Alligator mississippiensis: one gene and its partner. The protein of the gene in region 2 interacts with the protein of the main gene of each other region in a pairwise test. Links are inferred from orthologs where the notes say so. Each region holds a gene or a part of one and is shown on either strand. Other genes may lie near its edges.

Region 1 (9,546 bases), on a different chromosome or scaffold from region 2:
CCTGCTAACCCAAGAGCTCAGAAACTGAAATTGCCTACAGGAGTAGAAGGAAAACCCACTAAGCAGAAAACATTGGCTTCCTCTTTAACTTGCTTTCCCTTTCAGTCCTCTCAGGTGTCATCAGGAACAGCAGAGAGCTTATGAAGCAATGAGCCATATACACCAATTCCTGCTTTATGTGTATGATCTTGGAAGTGAGGTGGTGAGGATGCCTAGAGGGCTGATGTGCACAAAGTGGAAGCAAGTGGGCTGGGCTTATTAGCTAGGTAGTGATACCAGGCTCCCTACTGTCACAGTGTAGAGGTACCCTCTGAGGTGCCAAGCACAAGGGAGCTCCAGCCCCATGAGAACGCACACATACCTCTTCACACCCATTCAGAGTGGCACCTCAGGTGGAGGATGGTTGAGCTCCAGCCAACAGACCTAGCTCTTTTTGGTCAGGCAGTACTGATTCATGCATTAGGTTCCAGAGGTGCCAGATTCGATCTCCACTGACCCACACACAGGTATGGTATTACACAAAAAATGCATTATGATGAGAACATCCCCTGCAAAGATTGTGCATGTACGCTGCTTTTTCCCCAGCTGTGTGGGTACCCTTCCTAAAATACGCAGTGGCTTTAGAAGGGGCTGGGACTTTCAAAGTTCAGGTCCTATTTGCTGTTCTGCCACTAGTATTGGAGTGGTTCCTTGGCCTCAGTTCTCCCAAATGGAACATGGGGATCATAATAATGGCACATGCTATAGATCAGATGGAACCACTCTGATTCCAGGAGGCTTGACCACTGCCATTTAGTTAGGGTGGTTGTTCTCTTAGGGAACCAGAAAGCTGAAACAACAACAACCTCCACCCCAAACAGAGAAATGTCACCACTCATGCAAGGCACCTGTGGACAGAAGGATTTCTCTGCTGTTGTGTGAAGGCTTGTGTGTCTGCGAAAGCATCAGAGAAGCTGAGGGGTACCAGATACATCCTGGGAAGTGCTGACATCACTGCAATAGCGCAAACCTCTTGGGCTCAGTGCTGCTTGAACTGGGCTTGGCACTGTGAGCAAAGACACAGTGTCTTGTTGGTTGATTCCTACTTTGTACTCACTTCATAAATAAATAGGATTGCATCAGCCTATTCCATCATCAACTTCTCCTCTGAGTGGAAACAAACTGCAAAGACCTGACAGTTGCCTAATCCCTCAGGTCAAAGAGGGGAACCCTGAAATACTAATTAATCAGTTAAAGTTTGTAAAATACTTTGAACAAAGAAGCACATAAGGAGCTGATGATTATTGTTATTAATATTCTCCTCCTTCCTAAGCTGTTCGAGTGGCTGGATAAGCACAAGCAAAAGGACAGAGAACGAAGACAGTGAAAGCTAATAAACACATGAACTATTATAGTTGAGTTTCTATTTGCATAGTCCTGTGATAACATGTCACTTTACAGATTTGTATAGAGCATGGGTCCTTGTCCCAAGTCTAAATCTATCTAAACAGTCACTGTATAAACAAAACAAGCTGAGGAAACAACAAAAGCTAGTTGAACACACACTAAAAGTACACACCTTCAGAGCACCACTAGGGTGGTAGAGATCTAGTAACCTAAAGGGCCAGGTTCTGGGTGCCTCAGGAGGTGCAGTACTGCCAGTGTCAAAAGCCCAAAAATCAGGAGTCATGTCCCTTAAAAAGTCACAGGATTGGCTTAAAAGTGAGTTATCTTGTTAATAATAATCTGGGACTCTCTTTCTTTGCCTTCTGATTTCAGAAACTACTGGACTCTAGGCTGCTTTTCTTGATCATCTGGAGGGCTTACTCATTCAGGCCTAGTCTACAGTCACCTGCCACTGCTACCATGGCACCTGGCAGCAGAGAACAGCCCTCCAGAAAGTGCAGGGAAATTTGTCCATCCCTGGCAGCTCTGCTGAGCTGCTGTGACATCTTTTAGGGACATTAAAGTATGTTCATGTTAGAAGAGTTGTCCCTAAAGTTGTGCAAACAGCCTGGTTGCAGGTTGGGTCTCCAGCTCTGGGTCTGGGAACAGTAGCAAGAGAGTAAATATTGTTTTAAGTAGGAAGAAAACAGGTTAAGAGGAGTGGAGATCTTGTGATCAGTGGCCAAAACTCCCTGGTGGGAAGAGGGAAGAGAGATAAAGATTATTGTGCCCCACCCCCTCCCTTCTCCTTCCCCTTCCCCTTCCCCCTCCCTCTCGCTTCATCCATCTCTTGACGATACTCACACTTCCTTTAAAAATACACAAGGCCAGCACTGAACGGTAGTAACCCAAATACCCTGGCACTTAGAAGAGCAGAAATCTCAGTGAAGGTACCACAGAGAAATACATTCTGAGCTGTGGTTGCAGAATAGAAGCAGATGTGGCTGTGATGGATATCCACTGGGCTTTCCTTCTTCAGGCTGCTGGCCAGGGCTAGACCTTGCTGCACTCTGTAGCTCTCCAGCTCTTGGACTAACACAACTTGTACAGTCTATGCAAACCAAGGCCAGATATAATTAAACTTACCATGCCAGGCCCCTCAAACACACCGGGCAGACTGTCTCCTCAACCAGAAGCAAGATAGGTGAGCCCATGCAGCTGCCCTGGCAGACTAATTAGCATGGAGATGGGCACTGTGGCATTGCCACCCAGCAGTGCTAATTAGCTAACCTGAAGTATCACAGGGATGAGGCTAAGCTGGTTCCAGTTTAGGAGGCAGCCTGCCTGAAACAGTGGAGAGGCAGGGGCAAAGTCTTTATTAGCCCTGGCTTGGACTAACGAGTGACAGGGGACTTGACTCCCCCACAAGTTCAGGGGCTAGCACACTGCCTTGTTTTGGACCTTTTCCAGTAACACAGCTGACCCTAAGGGCAACAAGTATGTGAAGGTCTGATAGGTTACAAGCCAGGTCCTGTATCCTCTCATTCAGATGGTTCTTTCTAGCCCTGCTATGATGTGAATAGAGTTGGGCCTGACGTAGAACCTCAGATTAGAGCACTCTTTAGTTCTGGGAACGTTTGGACACAGGTTCCTACAACAGGTCATTCCAAAACCCTGAACAACCGTGAACATCAGAGCTGTTTGAGTTTTGCAGGTGGGGTCCAGTTCTGGCAGCAAGGTACTGGTCCTTCCAGTTACACCACTCCAATTACTCTGCTTCCTTCTACCTCTTGACTTGAATCCTGACATGCTTTTAGAAACTGTGCCCTGAAACACCATATTTCACAGTATGTAAGTCAACTATTGAAACCCAATTTTTGACTCTTTAAAATTTAACCTCGGCTTATACACCATATCACCGTCCCTTGTGAGTGGTGCCAAGCTCCGCAATTGGCTCGTGCGGCCCAGGCAGTGCTGTTCGCAGGGGATGCGGGTGCACCAGCTGAGTGCCAAACCTGGCCCTGTCTGCTGTGAGTGGTGTTGCTGAGTGCTGAGCCCAGCCTCATCCACTGCGAGCGGCGCTGGGTTTAGTGCTCAGCAGTGCCACTCACAGGGGATGGAGCTGGGTTTGGCGCTTGGTTGGTGTGGCCCAGGCAGCATCCCTCTCAGGGGGGTGAGGGTGCACCAGCCAAGTGCCAAGCCCAGCACTGCTCGCAGGGGACAGAGCTAGGCTTAGTGCTCAGCAGTACCGCTCACAGCAGACAAAGCCAGGCTTGGCGCTCAGCTGATGGGGCTCCATCCCCTGCGAACAGCACCGGGCTCTGTGTACAGGCATCGCCACTCACAGGGGATGGGGCTGCACCAGCCAAACACCGAGCCTGGCCCCATGGCACTGTGGCACATGCCCACTCCCCGGGTGCCCGGCCTGTAGTGAGGGAGTGCAGGGGCCAGTACAAGTTGACCCCATATTTCTGATCCAAAAAGGTAGGAATGTCATAGATCCAATGCTGACCTAACTTTTCGGATCAGAAAAATGGGGCCAACTTATATACCCTGTCGACCTATACAGATTCCAGGTACCCCTCCTTACCTTCTGTGAAATTCAAAAACGTATTTATTACCGTGCTTACCCTCTTGTAGGGGGACAGGGCAGCGGAGGCAGGGGAGTGGCCAGGCAGGGATGACTCTGAGCTTGCTCCTACCATCTCAGACCTTGCAGCCCCCTTCAAGGCATCTGGCGTGCCAGGTTCAGGTTGGGAACCACTTGGCGAGAGCTAGAAAGCTGCTCTGTAGCAGCAAGTCCTGGCTTCCAAATTGGCCACGCTCCCGGCCATCGTTTCTAGTGAGATCCAGGGGACTCAAAGTCATGTCAGATTCTGAGTGGGGTAAGGAAAAAAACCCAGGTTATAACCTAGCGATAAAAGGATCTTAAGTCTGCTGTTGCCACTGTCCTGCCTAGAAACTCTCCCCTGGCCCCATCTGAGCAAGTCATGCCTGGCCCGGGTGATACAGCAAACCGAACTGAAAGCTGAGTGATGCGTGAACGGGGAGAGCTGGGGGGCAGGGACGCGTAACCCCCGGGCTGGGGAGGCAGCAGCACCTCGGCTCTGCGACTGCTGTTATCACACAGAGCGGCTCCAGGGCTGGGGTGGCCAAGCTGCCCCTTGGGGCCGCGAGTGGCACCCGGCAGGATCCAGGAGCACGAGGCGGGAGTACATGGCAGAGCAGCAGATCAGATCAGAGGGCAGGGGGCGGGGGACAGCAGAGCTGCACATCAGAAGAAGTGGGGCGGGGAGCAGACAGCAGAACTGCAGATCAGATCAGAAGCGGGGCAGAGAAGAGACAGCAGAACAGCTGCTCGGACGGGAGGGCGCGTGGTTTTTCCGGCTGCCCCAAGCCCTCGCGGCCCCTTTAAGCCAAGCGTTCCAAGGAAGGAACGTGACATCCAGGCCGCCGGAGGGAGGCGGTGCTGTGCCTTTAATGGTGGGCGGGGCCGGTGGGCGGAGGTGCGCCCGGCAGCACCGCGCATGCGCCCGCCGGGAGACTCGACCCTCGGCAGGCTGGAGGGCGCGGTGACGTCATGTGCGTGCGCCGTGACGCTGCCTGCGTGCCGGGGGTGGGGGCTCGGAGCTGGAGCGGGGTCCGCGCGGAGCCTCCCAGGCGGTGCTGGGGGGGAGGGGCTCCGCGCTCTTCACGCGCACCATGTTCCGCTACCAGGTGAGGAGCCACCCGGCCCCGCCCCCCCGCCCTCACCTTTGACCCCTGACCCCGGCCCTCCAGCCGCGGGATGGGCTGGGCCCGGCCGGGGGGGCTGCGGCCGGAGCGGGGGCTGGGCCCGCGCCGGGGGGTCGGGAGTCCAGTGTGCAGCTTTGGGCCTCGCGGCCGGAGGGATGCGCACACCGCGGGGAGCCGGCCCGGGACGGAAATGGTCCGGGGCTGTGGGAGACTGAGGGGACTGGGCTGGTTTAGGGAAGAGACGGCTGAGGGGCGACTTCATAGCAGCCTTCAACTCCCTGCACGGGGGCTGGGAAGAGGAGGGAGCTGGACTGACTGCTCTCAGTGGTGGCAGATGACAGAGCAAGGAGCAGTGGTCTCAAGTTGCAGCAGGGAAGTTTAGGTTGAATATTAGGAAGAATTTTCTCACTGGGAGGGTAGGAAAACATTGGAGCAGGTAACCCAGAAAGGTGGTGGGCTCTCCATCCTGGGAGGTGTTCAGGACCCAGGAAGACAAAGCCCTGGCTGGAACGATCAAGTTGGGGATGGTCCTGCTCTGAGCAGGGGTTGGACTGCAGCAGTGATTTTCCACCTTTTTTGTACCAGGACCCACTTGTAAACATTAGTGGCCAGTCCCAGCCCAGGACCCCTCACTCCTGTCCTGCTGCTCCCTGTCCCCAGTGGGCAGGGAGGGGGCCCCAAGCAGCCCCTCACAGGCTGGAGCTCTGCCAGCCTGCAAGGGAAAAGCCCCCGTGTGCCTCATTTTTCTCCTTTAAAGGAGAATCCATTTTTAAAGTTTGCTCGAGACCCTTTCCTATATTCCTGTGACCCACGGGTTGAGACACGCTGGACTCCACGACCTCCTGAGGTCCCTTTCAGCCCTCGTTCTCTATGGTTCTGTGCCTGTTTGGCTCTGCTGTGTGCTCAGTTGCCGTGTGCCTACTGATGGGGACCCGCCTTGCTGAGAGCAAGGGAAAGGGTGATGTGGTTAGAGGTGTGGCATGATAAAAGTTTAACTAGTAGCAGCATAGCATTTATGTTGTTTAGGGGCATGGGGAGCCCTTGTTTTTTACCAAGTTGTCTTGAGGAAGGCAGTAATCTGAGTGGACATTTTTGGCTTGCCCTGGGAAAGCGTGGGCTGGTGTGTGTTGTTTGTGGGGTGTCCTCGTTTACATGGCTTTCATGGGGTGCCTTGTTTCGCAGGGGTGCGTCAGGGAAGACGTGGGGGATGCCTTTGGTGGGGTGGGGGGGTGCTTTGTGTGTTGTGGATGCGTGGGTGACAGCAGTTTCTCCTGTCCTGTGTACTGACTGCTGTAGTATCTGAGCAGTGCAGGGGTGCCAGCACTTTTGCCTTTGCAGTGCATTGAGGTCAGGTGATACCATTAGCCTTGATTAACAGGTGGGGAATGGAGGCCCAGAGACAAAGTGACTTGCCTCAGGTGTCATAGGAAGTCTGTAGTGGAGCAGAGAATTGAGCCCTGGTCTCCCTGACTGGCACCTTATCCATTGGACCATGAGTCTTGCCTTTTGGTCGGCTTTGAGGGTGGGCATGGGATAGGATGGGGGATATATGTGGGGAGGTGGTGGGGAGATGTTACTTTGTCTTAGGAGGCAAGTTCAGGAAACGGTCTGTGGCTAGTATTGTTGTGTGGGAGGGGGAAGTGGGAGTTGAGGGAGATGGTGGTGGCTTTGCCTTATCTGAGGGCTTGCACTTTGGCAGTTCTTGGGCAGAGGGACCTTTTTTGGTAGAATGAGAGCGCACTCTGGTTGTGTTTGGCATATATGCATGTTGTGAACTTGGGAAATACAGGCCTTGTGCTTGGTTGGTGCTGGAGGAACACTTCCCCCCCCCCCCTCCCCCTCTCCCCCAATCCCACCCGCAGACTCACTTGAGAGAGCCTCCAGGGCAGTGGTCGAGAGATGGGCAGACCTCCAGTTTGGGTGAGAAGTGGCCAAGGAGGAACCCAGCTTGGTGGTGCTGGGAAGGCAGGTGAAATTGCAGCACATCACAAGACCTTCTCATAGCACACATGCTTGCTCTCTCTCTCTCTCCTTTTTCCAAGTCCCTGGAGGACTGCCCTCTGGATGAGGACGAAGATGCCTTTCATGCCCTGGGTGAGGAAGATGAAGATATTGACCAGTTCAACGATGACACATTTGGAGCCGGTGCTGTGGGTGAGAGCTGTGTTTCTCCCTTGTTTCCCTGTCTTTGTCTCTGCCTCCTTCTCTTCTTCAGGAGGTGACGTATCTGAAGTAAGATGTTGTCCGTCCCCACCATGCTGCTGTTGCTTCAGGCTCAGGCAGTTCCACTTGCAGCTCTGTTAGATGTCCAGTGAGGAAGCTGAGGGGTTCCTCATTGCCTCTGCCTGGGAATTGCAGCTGGCACTGGAGGAGAAGTGTGGTACAACAGTTCCAGCCCCACTCCTCTGTGGTTCCCTTATAGATGATGATTGGCAGGAGGCACATGAGCGGCTGGCTGAACTGGAAGACAAGCCTGCAACCACTGGGGAGCAGGAAGATGGGACAGTCACTGATGAAATGGACCTGCTGGGGGACCATGAAGAGAACCTGGCAGAGAGGCTGACCAAGATGGTAATCGATAATGAACTGGAAGACCCAGCCATCATGCAGGCTGTGCAAACCCGGCTCCCTGTTCAAGTGAGTGCAGTTGGGGGGTGGAGCTGGAGGTGGTGGGGGAGAAGAAGGGTGGGCAGCCAGAAAAACCTTCTCCATATCAACCCATCTCTTTTGTTCCACAGCATCCAGGAGGACTGAACTCCAGCATCTGGGATGGATCAGCAGTTCTGAGACGCATCCGAGGGCCGCTTCTCACTCAGGTGTAGTGTCCCAGTATTGTTACTACCTTGACAGAGGAGAACTTGAGGTCTCTCAGCCACCTGCACTGGCAGTAAATACAGAAAAGGTGCTTTCTCCCACCTTAGGAGGCCTTTTCCTGATTAGAGCAAAAGCCTGAGTAGCACAAGATTTGCCATTTCTGCACTTTGTGTCCTACTGTATTGCATCAAACCACAGGTGCTTTTTGTCTGGTGACCTCCCTCTTGCTGCATAGGATCAGACCATTGCCTGGCAGATGCGCCGGAAGAAACTGAAAGTACCCACAATGCACTTACCTTGTTGTGTAATGCCCTGTCCTTCATGAGCAATCTCTTCCTGTGCTTGTGGCAACCAGCTAAGCCCCTGAATCATGGGACTTGATTCACTCTTGAAGAGCAATTCTGCTTTGTAAAACAGGACTCTAAAATAGTATTGTGAAAGAAGGGGTCTGTGGCTTTTCCTTGCTGACTCCAGATCAAGCACATTTAGCTTGGAGGAAAAGCACAGCCAGTTCTGCCAGTATCCCCTGGGATCTGTGAGTGAGACTGCTTATAATGTACTTGCATATTATCCTTAATAAACTAGCCCCACTTGAAAGTTGGTACAGATGCTGTTAAGGCTAAGTTAAGATAACTAATCTCTGCTGGCCAAATCTTCAAGAATTCTGGTGTCTTAAGCTGGAATAAAACCCAGCTTCCTGTCTTCTGCAAGGCAAATGAGGCTAATAAACATAAATCTGTTGCTAGAGCCAAAAGGAGGAGCAGTCATGTGTATGAAACAGTTTGCTGCATTCATCCAAAAGTCTTGTAAAAACATTTCTCCTAGTAATGAGAGGCACAACCTCTCTATGCCTTTCTTTGTCAAGCAGCAAATCAGGCCTGGAGAGTGCTTGTCTCCTGACTTTCTGATATGCTGGACCAGTGGGACTGCCATGAAGATGTGCTAGCTGAGGGGAAGTGATCTCTGAGATTCAAGGGTTCTCTCTGAGATGGAGGGTGTGCTGGGCTGCCTTCCTGTCACTGGCAGGTTGGTAGAGTGTGATCAGTTCAAAGTAACTGACCATTGTCCGTCATTTTCCTTCCCTTGATGTACAGGAGATGCCGTCGGTGTCAGTGCTTGACTACGCCCTGCCTCAGAGGCCACCCCAGGCCCGGGATGAGGAGCGCGACCTCTCAGAGAGGGCACTGCCCAGGCGCTCTTCCTCCCCTGTCATTGGAAGCCCCCCTGTCCGCGCTGTCCCCATCGGCACCCCGCCCAAGCAAGCTGCCATGCCGAACTTCAACCAGCAGGTGCCTCCTCTCCTTCCTCTCCCCTTCCATGAAAGCAGTAGAAGCAGCATGGTTTGGGTCAAGAAGAAGAACAGAAATAGTGGGGAGGAGAGGGTGTAAAAGGGGTCCTGAAGGCACCTGTCCTAATCTCTTACCACTCGCACAATCTTCAGAGCAGAAAACCACAAGATTGATGGTTTATTTCACCTGCTGTGAGTGTCTGGCTTCTGGCAGGAAATGGAAAGAGGGGAGGGGAGGGGTGGGTTTGTTCTCTCAGATACTCCTTGTCCTGCTGATGTCCCTACTGTCCCTGCAGCCTGCCTGGTCCTGCTATGTAGGTTGCTTTCATTTGCAGGAGGGCATG
Region 2 (10,030 bases):
GGGCCCTTCGCAGGCGCTGGCACTGCCCGGCATACAAATCATCCCCAGCGGTTACGTGGAGGGAAATGCACCCGACAGAGACGGTGCAGAGAGAAAGGGTCTCACGACTGCTCGTGAGCTGCCTGCAGCCAGGCCAGGAGAGAGCCCAGCATCATCCTCAGGAAGACGCTCCCCTTGCCTTTCCACCGCTGCCCGCACGCCCGCTTTAACGGCAGAAGTCCGTGTGTGAGAAGAGCCAGTCCAGGAGAGCTGGGGAGCTGCACTCCCAGCTCCTCGGAGAGAAAAATGCAGAGCCCAGACTCCCCGGGGAATCGATGGAGGCAGGTGAAAGCCTGCACCTGGTGCTAAATTGTCACGTGTATTCCCGTAACGCCAATGCAAGGGGCTGTGCGAACAAGCGAGGCACAGCCGCACCCCAACGCGCTTGCACGCTATAAATATTTTACAATCTAGGCCAGAGGTTGGCTGGCAGCCTTTTAGCAACGGCAAGCTGAAGTAGCACGGCCCCATCCGAAGGTGGGCGTCCGCTGGCAACCTCACTGCCAATTACTGCGGGCTGCTCCCACTGCCGGCGCCCCAGCTCCACAGGCTGGATGCAGCCCAGCACAACACCACGGTCCTGCACTGGGGTGCCAGGCTCTGCTCAGCCGCTTCGCTTTTGGGGGCCACGCGTGTCTCTTCCGGCACAGCATCCCATGGAAGAAGGCAGCTCCTCGTGCTTCCCTAGGATGCTCCTGCCGCAACCACCGCACGGTGCAGTCTTGCCTCCCGTCCCGTGCAACGGCATCACGTTGTTGCGCGCAGCTCCCCCTCTTCCACCTGGCTGCATCGCAGTGCCGGGTGAAGCGAGCCTCACCTCTAGCTGCCTGGGTAACTCAAGCGAGCATGTGCGCAACCCTCCGTGATCTCTGGATGAACACCGCTGTGGCATGACGCTCGTAGCCAGGCGTGGGAGGATCTGCTCCGGGCATGCGCCTGAGCGAGCATCCCCTGAGCTCTGCAAACAGAGCGCCTGGCATGGAGACGGCTGCAGGGCACGTGCCCTGCAGTCACGTGCAGCAGAGCCAGCCCGCGGGGCCTGAGGCCAGCTCTCCTCCGTAGCCACCTTCGCCGCAGTGCCCGGCAGCGCTTGGGTTGATGGAGGGCCTGCTCAGCTCGTAAACATCTTGATTTAAGCAGTCCTAGGAGCATAAATCGAAGTGTCTGCGTGCAAGTTTTTCTGCCTTCTTCTTCCTTCCAGGCCAGAAGGGAATTTTTTCCCCAAATTTGGTCAAACTATTTGCTGCGGACTCCATTCCTTGTGTCCCGGGGAGCAGCGTTTGCAGCCGGCATGGTCCGTGCAGCCAGGCGACATGCAACCTCGCGCCCTCCTGCTGTGCTGTGGTCCCAGTACACCCCCTGCCCCCCCGGGCTGTGTTCCCCCGAGGTGTCTTTGCAGCGGGCAGGACGGGGGGCTGGCGAGAGGCAGAGGGGAGAGAAGGGCCACCCTCACCAACCCTCCACCCAGACTCCCCCAGTAGCGTGCTCCTCTCGCTGCAGGGCTGCTAACTGCAAGCCCCCTTTTTGCTGCCCCTTGCAGAAGTCAGCCATGTCCCAAGCATGTTTTACAGCTGCCGGCGTCCCTCGCAAGCGCAGGAAATTACAGCTGCGCAGCCCCGGCACGTCGGCAGCTTCTAAATCGGGCGAAGCGCCGAGTGCCAGCGAAGGGGGGTAGTCTCGGGTTACCCACCCCCCCGCCGCTGGTTTCTTGTGGTCCAAAACAAAGCTCCGTTGCCCGGCAGTCGCAGCACGTGCCCACCGCAGCCTTCCTCGGCTGGGGCAACGTGGCCCGCGGGGCAAGATCGGGAGCGGTTGGGAAGCGAGAGTAGAGATGGCCCCGGAGCACTGTGTGCAGGGAGAGGCTTTCTTCCCTTCCAGCGCAGGGCTGCAGCCACTTTACAGCAGACCCATCTGGAGTGAATTACTGCCACGGTCTAGATCTGGCCATTTGCAAGCCGCTCTGCTCTGCTCTGCCGCAGCGTTTCCCCTCTTTTCTTACATACCCAGCGTTTTAAGGCAGTGGCAGCGTGCTCCACATAGAGCATTATAGGCAATAAAACAGCTGAGCAAAAGTCTGGGAAGTGTGCAAGAAGCCTGTGTGCTCCAGCATGCAGCGGGGCCGTGCCGCTGGCACGCGAGAAAGGGCTGTCAGCCCGAGGGCGAGAGGACCGGTGTGCCCAGAACAGAGGCGTCTCCCCCAGCAGCAAGGGGCTGCATTAGCTCCCCACAACCTGCCCCCCAAATGCTACCGAACCTCACAGGGCTAGTGCCCCTGCTACCCGCACCTCGGGCACCTGTCCTGGGCAGGACAGCCCCCAGCAAGGACTCCAGGGGGTAAAGCCCTGGGAGCTCACACTGCCTCTTCATCTCTCCAACAGCTCTCCTGGCACGGCAGCTTTCTGCCTCTCTCTGGGCCCCGGGCAGATGCAACCACGATGTTTCCGAAGCCCGGGAGCCCCTGCCCTGCAGCCTGATGCCCATTTCCAGCATTGCATCCTCATTCAGCAGCAACCAAGAAGCTCAGGTGAGCTTACGGGGCTGCAGGCAAAGGCGCCCGGGAAGCGTGCACGGAGCAGATGACAGTGGCACGCCGCAGGACAGGATTTTAACTAGCTGCGACCCAGCCAGCCAGCACGGTGGGCAGAGGGGCTGACCTCCCAGACGCGGCGAACACCTTGTGTGTGCACAGATAAGCACCCGGTGCAACCGTGCATGAGATGAAAAGAGTTTCCAAGACCGTCTGTGCAACACGGCGAGCGATGGGAGCCCAGAGTCCCGCTGTGCCCCCCACCAAGCCAAACCCAAAACGAGTTTTGGGTAAAGAGACTGCCCCAGGCTGCCCGAGCCCTACTGAGCACTCCCTTGCCCAAAGCAGAAAGTTACCTTGCATGGCTGGCTGCGGGGGGATCGGCAAGGAAAGCAAAGGGAAGCCCGCCTGTCCCGGGGAGGCAGCCGCGCTGGAGTCGGCTGCAGCAGGTGTGCTGGGAGACGGTGCCCCAGTCAATCCCGGCGCACCAGCAAAACACTGAAGTGCTCACCCAGAAACAAAAGCAGTCGCATCATAAACCGGGGGCTGACATCAGCGCAGGAGTAGCGTTTCCGACAGAGGTTCAGGTTTCATCACACGGGGCTGGAGCCTGGGCTCTTGCCACTCAAGGTACTCTGCATGTGCACAGGAGGCACACGTGGCCCTGGCCCCGGCCACGGGGCAGAGAGCGCGTTTCTGGGCACACCGAGAGCCACCCTCCTACTGACCCCAATCCTGCCGAAGCAAACCCCGCTGCGGCTGACGGGACCTGCTTGGGTCGGCAAGCCTGCGTCACGCGGCCAGGCTTGCTCGGACCACGTTGCACGCTCCTCTTTAATAAAGGCCGCAATAATCCCACCTGGCCCGGCACTCTCTGAAGGGACCCTCCGAGCCGTATCTCTTGGTACCACCGTGTTTCCTGAGTCGGCGGCAGCCGCTCATGATACGGGTGGGTGTTTTTGGGGTGGATTTCTATGCAGCGAGTGCTAGCACGGACGGCCACATGCTCGCCCGTCCCTCCAGGACCGAGGCATGGGTAAGGGCAGCTCTCGAAGGAGGAGTGGCTTCTCCAGTAGGAAAGGGACTTCTCCATCCCATCGCCCACCAAAGACCACACACACATATTCTGTGGGTCCGGTTGTGCATCACCTCCCCGACGGTTATGTTGCTTCACGCACACCGAGCCACTCACCCTCGCGGCACCTCCGCGCAGCAGGGCAGTCCGTCATCTCCAGGCTGCCACGGCTCACGCCGGTGACACGAGGCAGCGAGTCTCTCGGTCCCTGTCCGGGGAATACACAGGCAAGGATGCACCGCAGACCCAGCCCTGCCAGAGTCCTCCCTCCCTTGCTCCGCGTCTCCTTGCGAATGCACCCCAGGCCTGCACCCTGAAGGTCCCCAGAGGCACCCCGCTTTGCAAGGAGAAGCGGGGCAAGCAAGGAGGGACACGGGCGTGTAGAATTAGGCTCCTCCGGCCGCAGCGAGACCAGACGTCCCTCCGCCTTGTCCCGCTGCTAGAGCGGGGCAAGCTTCACACCGACGAGGCACGCTGGGAACAGCCGCAGAAGTTAAATTCACACCCTACCTTACTCCAGGTTAACTTTCAAGTGCCGACAAGACCAGAGCATTTCCACCCAGGACACTCCCCTGCTCTTCCCTCTCCCAGAGCGCTGCGTGTGAAAGCCCTGGCGCAGCACAACGGCTTGTGACCCCCTGGGAGGAATTTCTTGGCTCCGGCCCGTCGCAATCAGACCCTCGAGTTACGATGCATTTTGCACTTCATGCAATTTCTTTTGTTTCCTCGGAAGAGCCCCAAAACCAGGCAGGCTCCTCCCCTGCCAAGCAGCAGGCTCCCAGGCGGAGTTAACACATGCATCCTGCCCCCGCCAGAAGGGCAGGGCCCACGCCTGCCGCTGAACCAGAACAGAAACAGCTTTACTTCCAATGCGCCCAGCACCCAGGGGGGAAATCCTCCTCGGGAGCCTGGTCCTACCCCATGGAGGCTGCTTTGAAGCTGCAGGAAGAGGGGAGACCCGTAACCCGGTGCTCCTCCAGGAATAGCTGCCAACTGTTTTTGCAATTTGCATTTTGCATTTTTTTTTTAAACCCTCGGGGAGACCTCAGGAGCCAGGCTCCGCCTGGAAAGGATTTTCATGACCGCAGCTAAAACCCACAGAAAGCAGGGGGCTAGGATGGAAACCGGGGGCTCCGCTCTGAGCAGCTGGGACTGTTTCCCCGGTTAAGTCGATTAGCATTACTCAAGCCCACGCTGGCTCTCAAAGGGGTGCCGAGGAGAGGCTGACCAGTCACTCCTCTCCCCGGACGAGGAGCTGCGAGCGGAGCCGGTTTAGGGGAGCTCTAGCGGCCCGGGCAAACACACCCCAGCCAGCAAAGCCGTGTGTACACGTCAGGGTAAACGGCCGGGCTCTCTCGCGCCCTCACAGCTGCCATATTTTAGGGGCCACATCTGTGCATGGGATGCGCCAGCTCTGACAAACATCCGCAGCAGCTGGAAGGGATTCCCGGGCCCACGAGACTTCAACCCAACAAAAACCGGGATCTTGGGCTCAGTTTACTTGAAAAACACAACCCCAAGAGCTGCTTCTGCCAGCCCTGCAAGGGCGCTAGCGGACAATGCTTCTGCAACCCTCCCGGCCGGAGCTATCGAATGGCGCGGATCTAATTCCTCAAATCCGTACAACGATCCATTAGCCAGAGCCAGCCTTGCGTTTCAGGGGATGCTGTTTCTGTCATTGCTCGCGATGGAAGGGCTAGCTGGCGGATCCTGCAAACCCCTTCCCCTCGCTGAGCTCCCGCGGCAGACCGCGCTGCCGACTTCGAATAGCTCGTGACAAGCAGAAGTTTCTCGTCTCACAACTAGGAGCTCGAGGGTGCGGGGAAGAGCTAGAGCGTGGAAGTCCGGACACTTTCCTCCCTAACCTTTACGCTCCTCATTAAGTGGACGGAGCAACTGGCCTTCCCACGCGTACGTGCCGGCCAGCGGGACAGTGTGGATTAGAAACGGGAGGTGAGCCCGGCTCGGGCTCCCAGGGACACTCTTGTTCTGGGCAAAGGCTTCGGTGGCGACAGCGCTCTTCCCCGCTAGCCGAGGTCTCCGGGCAGGCAGGAGCCTCCAGCGCTAACGAGTTAATTCGTGGCGACTCTTCAGAGAGGATGGTTTGGAGAAGGGAGTGCTCAGCTCAGGGAAAGCTCAAGCAGCCGCGACCGAGCTGCGGTTAAAACAAGACACCAATGACTCTATTCAGCCCAGAAACCTCAGACAGTTTCCATTTTCTCAATAACAAAGCATTTTTGTGCGGTGAGGTAAGAGGCCTCCATCTGCCAGGTCTAACTCTCCACTAGGATTTCTTAAGAGAGCCGTTGAATGAGCGCGGGCCGTTCGTGCCAGAGAGGGCGTGCAAAAGGCAGGCGGGAACAAAGGGACAAAGGGAAAGCCTTCTGGGGGAAAGTCACACGCGTCCCCTTTGCAGCCGGCCTCGGGCCACTCTTACCAGGGGCTCCCGTCACTGCAGAGGAGGAAAATCCACCCGCGGAGGAAAGACTGGGCCTTTCGAATAGGAAGGGACGGGACCAGGCAGGGAAATGGAGCCGAAAACCCCGGGTTGATTTTATACATGCAGAGATTCACGCGGCACGTGGGCTCTGCAGCCTGCCCGCATCGCCCCGCGTGGCAGAGCACGCACGGCCCGTGCGGAGATGCTGGAGCCTCGTGGACCGCATGGCACAGCTTCGGGGACTCGCTGCTCGGGGTCAGACGCATCCCTCGTAGCTCTGCGGTGCACCACGCTGAGCCGGGCAAGGCTGCGGGCCACGGAGCCCCTAGACTAGGCGCGCTAGTCCCGGCAGAGCTGGGCAATCCGGTGCCCAGCTCATTGCATGCCCAGCTGCTCCGCGGAGACAAACCACCTCCAACCTCCCCATGGGCAATTCTGGCCTCGGTGTTTCCACCGTTGTTTGCTGACCAGCTCCCGCACAACCTCCCCACCGTCCTTTCCCTGGGAGCTGTTGGATTAACTGCAAAGAGATGCAGCAGAAGGGCGCTGCTCTACCGCCCGCTTGGCCCTGACCTCAGAGCCCACAAGCCAGCAGCCTCCCACACCTTTGATGCTGGGCTTTTGGAAACCTTTCTTGCTCTGGCCCCAAGGCCTGGTGCACGTGCTCTGCAGCTAGGAGCCCGGAAAGGGCTGGGTTTTTGAGCGTCCTCCCAACACCCTTCCCAGCAAACGGGAATTTAGATAAGCCAGCCCCCTGCCCAGGCCTCGTGGAAACAGTGCACGTTCCCTGTGCACAGAAGCCACGAACTGATGTAGGAGGAGGACCTTGTGTCTCCTTCAGGGGCAGGAACAGGGAAAACGTCTGCAAAGGGAGGACGGGAGCAAGTCAGACGCACGAGCCAGGAGCGACGTGGGAAGTGCTTGGCTGCTCGAACCTGCCGGTACCCTCAGCCGGGCCGTGTCCTTCCCCAGAGCCACGGGGAAGGATGGTGCCGGATGCTGGGGACGTGCTGTGCTTAGCTGGCAGAGCACGGCGCTGCACACTGGACTCAGTGGGGTGGCTCTCCTGGGAGCCGGGCCTCTGCTGTCCCCTGCGCTCGTGCACATTAGTGTTGTGGTCCCCTGTGCCTCCCTGCACTTATCAGTCGTGCCACATTCAATCTCATCAGCCCCCAGGGGCCAAGAGACGGTCTGGGAAGACGCACCAAGAGGAAAAGCAATCACTACTGGCTTTTTGGGGTGCAGGAGGAGGGGGCTCTGCCTGCTCCCAGATCGCAGAGCGCAGCCAGAGGCATCCCAAACTCTCTGCCCTAAGACTTCCCGTCCAAGGTCGACGAAATCCCAGCCTCCCCCGCCGTGAGGTCAGTCCTTCACCTGCCAAGCCTCAAGTTACATCAGCCCGCAAGACTCGGGAGACGACACTGCTGCACAAACACCACGGAGCGAGCTGGGTGGTCTTCAATTAGCATCATGCCAGACTGCGGCCGCTGGAGAAGTGACACGAGAAGGGCAAAGCACTAAGCAGCTTAACGGGGAAGGATGGGTGCTGGGCTCACGCGCTGGCTAAGAAGCAGGTTGGTGAGTCCCAGGCCCTGAACCCATGGCACACAAGTGTGTATTTATCTCTGCACAGGACCCACCCATTGCCACATCCCCTTTCCATTAGTCTCCTCTTTCCCAAGCTCTTCACCCTGACTTGAACTGCTCCGAGAAGCCCGCAGCACGCCAGCCGTGGACAATCAGCTCCTGCAAAGGCATGCTTGCAAAACTAGACTGCAAGACATTCACTTGTACCGATACAAGAGCCAGCCTGCGGGTGCAACGGTAACCGCACCATCCTCGGGCTTAATCCAAACAGCACCACTGACTTCCTCTGAACTTGGAAAAGCCACGTCTAACCCCTCCAGCTCCATTTCTCCATCAGCATGACGGGGAGGCCTCCCCTCCCCGTGGCAGCACTGGCAGGATGAACACAGAAAGTTGTGAGTTTTGAACAAGGATGAAGAACACACGGTGATACCAATTTCTTTTATGCACCTTGATTTCTCCTTGCTGCTATCCGCGTGGGGTGAAACACAAGCACGCACATGCACACGTGCTGGGGCTCAGGGGTGCATAAGCCCCATGCTGGGCCTGTGCATGGGAATTTCATCTTACGCGCGGCTACAAAAACACACTGGCCAACTGAGCAAATGACTAACTTGGAGGAGACACAAGTTGTTCGACTTGTTCTTCTCCCATTTCAGCAGGCTCCAAAAGCCTCCCTTACCGTGCCATTGCGAGTAGTCCAGGGCTCAGACACACTTGATGCTCACCAGTGAGCCCGTGCCCAAAGGAGCAAACAGACTAGGGGCTGCTCTAAATCCCACTGAAGTTAGTGGGAACCCTTCTGTGATGCTGAATTAGGATCTTTGAATGAAGCCAACGCTACCAGAGTGTGGGGCGGGGACTGGGGAGAACCTGGGTCCAAGGACACTGCTCCCTTTTGGGAAGGATTGCTTAGCCTACGCCAATTTTGGAAGCGCCTGCGGAGAGGCAGCGAGCTGGAAGGGGCTTTGAGGAGGGGAAGGCTGCATGGTGCACAGGTCAGGGCGGTGGTCCAGGCATACACTGGAGCCTGCCAATCTAGTTTTCAGGCTTTAAAAAGCAACTTGAGGACACTGGCAGGAAGCGGCAGCAGCTGGCTGCGATCGGCGGCCTGGGACTGGGGCAGGTCAGAACATTTGGGACCCATCCGAGTTCCTTCTCTGGTGAACAGCACTGCCGAGCTCGCCCTGCCTTGTGACGGGGACTGAGCATGCCAGCAAGAGGAACTACCAGGAGATTAGGAAACCTTTCCAGAAAGGCTATTTTGGTGGCAATATTTTTAGTCTGGGACACGTGGTTGCTGCATCCGCAGGGACGACGGCAGAGGTCTCTGACCACAGACCGCTCCAAAGCCTTTCTGCGTGACTGGTTGCAAGTCGCCCACCCCCAAGTCCAGACAGCCACCGCAGCACCCAAAATCACGAGCTGTGTGTGCTTTCTGCCTGCGAGTGCCACGACGTGCACAATGCACCGAGCAGCAACCAGTGGCTCCACAAAGCAGAGGCATTTTGACTCAGAAAGACCCAGACTGTACATGCTCTGATCCCATGGACACAAGAACCGATGACCAACACGCAAAGCAAAGGAGCAAGGAGGGGTTCAGCCAGCTCCTCTGCATCCAGATACTACCTAAGCACAGCGACGCTCCCAGGAGGTGGGAAAGACACGTCGGCTGGACAGCAGACACGGCGATGCATTCATCACCGGAGCACGGCCCGCCTGCCTGGGGAGAAAGGCTATGCAATGGGACAGGCTGAGAATCAGATTGGGATGGCGTCCCCAGCTCTGACTGAGGCTTTGACCGAGCCCTTCCCCATCCCTGTGCCCCAGTCTCCCTGGGTAAAGCAGGGTCACCCTCCCCTTGCCTTTGTGATGGGCTTTGCAAAGCTCCTCTGGCACTTCTCCCCTGCAGCTCTGCATCCTTGGTGTCTGCTAACGGGCCAGGTATCAGCCAGGGCCCACGAGAGAGCCCGGGCAAGGGTGGCTCTTCCTTTTTCAGGCATGGAGGGACATTATGAGCCTGTTTCCTGCCCGTGAAGAAGGTAAAGCTGCTAAATCTAGAACCCCGCACAGCCAACGCTGGGCCTGCCCCATCCCACGGGCAAGACCCAGCAGCGCAGCGGGGAGTGGAGGGCTCCCCGGGGTCCAGAGGTCGCTGGACTGGGGCCCAGCTGCAGTCACACGTTCACGCCGCACAGAAGGCGTCAAGCCGACTCATGTCTGCCATGTGCTAGCCAGACCCAAATGCTTGAACCGAGGCTCCTGGGAAAGGTCAGGGGTGTTTTCCCAGCTTCCAAGGCATTGCCTTTGCTTTTGCTGGCAGGCCCTTAATTTCTTTGTTAAAAGATACTAATCTCTCTGC

What was found. The genes of interacting proteins can lie anywhere in the genome.
Region 1: the proteins of FHL3 (region 2) and PATL1 interact in binary tests that used the Homo sapiens proteins (3 or more experiments, as listed by UniProt). The two-hybrid records come from large-scale screens. The link is inferred for Alligator mississippiensis from reciprocal best matches to the Homo sapiens genes FHL3 and PATL1.

The regions. Positions count from the first base shown.
Region 1 is NC_081825.1:176,458,457-176,468,002, reverse strand, and holds the start of PATL1 (protein PAT1 homolog 1), read left to right. Parts: upstream 1-5,117; 5' UTR 5,118-5,152; coding exon 5,153-5,293; intron 5,294-7,142; coding exon 7,143-7,254; intron 7,255-7,522; coding exon 7,523-7,737; intron 7,738-7,838; coding exon 7,839-7,916; intron 7,917-9,008; coding exon 9,009-9,203; intron 9,204-9,546. UniProt on the Homo sapiens protein: RNA-binding protein involved in deadenylation-dependent decapping of mRNAs, leading to the degradation of mRNAs. Acts as a scaffold protein that connects deadenylation and decapping machinery.
Region 2 is NC_081829.1:1,228,775-1,238,804, forward strand, and holds the start of FHL3 (four and a half LIM domains protein 3), read right to left. Parts: upstream 4,400-10,030; 5' UTR 4,152-4,399; intron 3,850-4,151; 5' UTR 3,796-3,849; coding exon 3,759-3,795; intron 3,695-3,758; exon of another isoform or gene 2,930-3,694; coding exon of another isoform or gene 2,923-2,929; intron 1-2,922. UniProt on the Homo sapiens protein: Recruited by SOX15 to FOXK1 promoters where it acts as a transcriptional coactivator of FOXK1.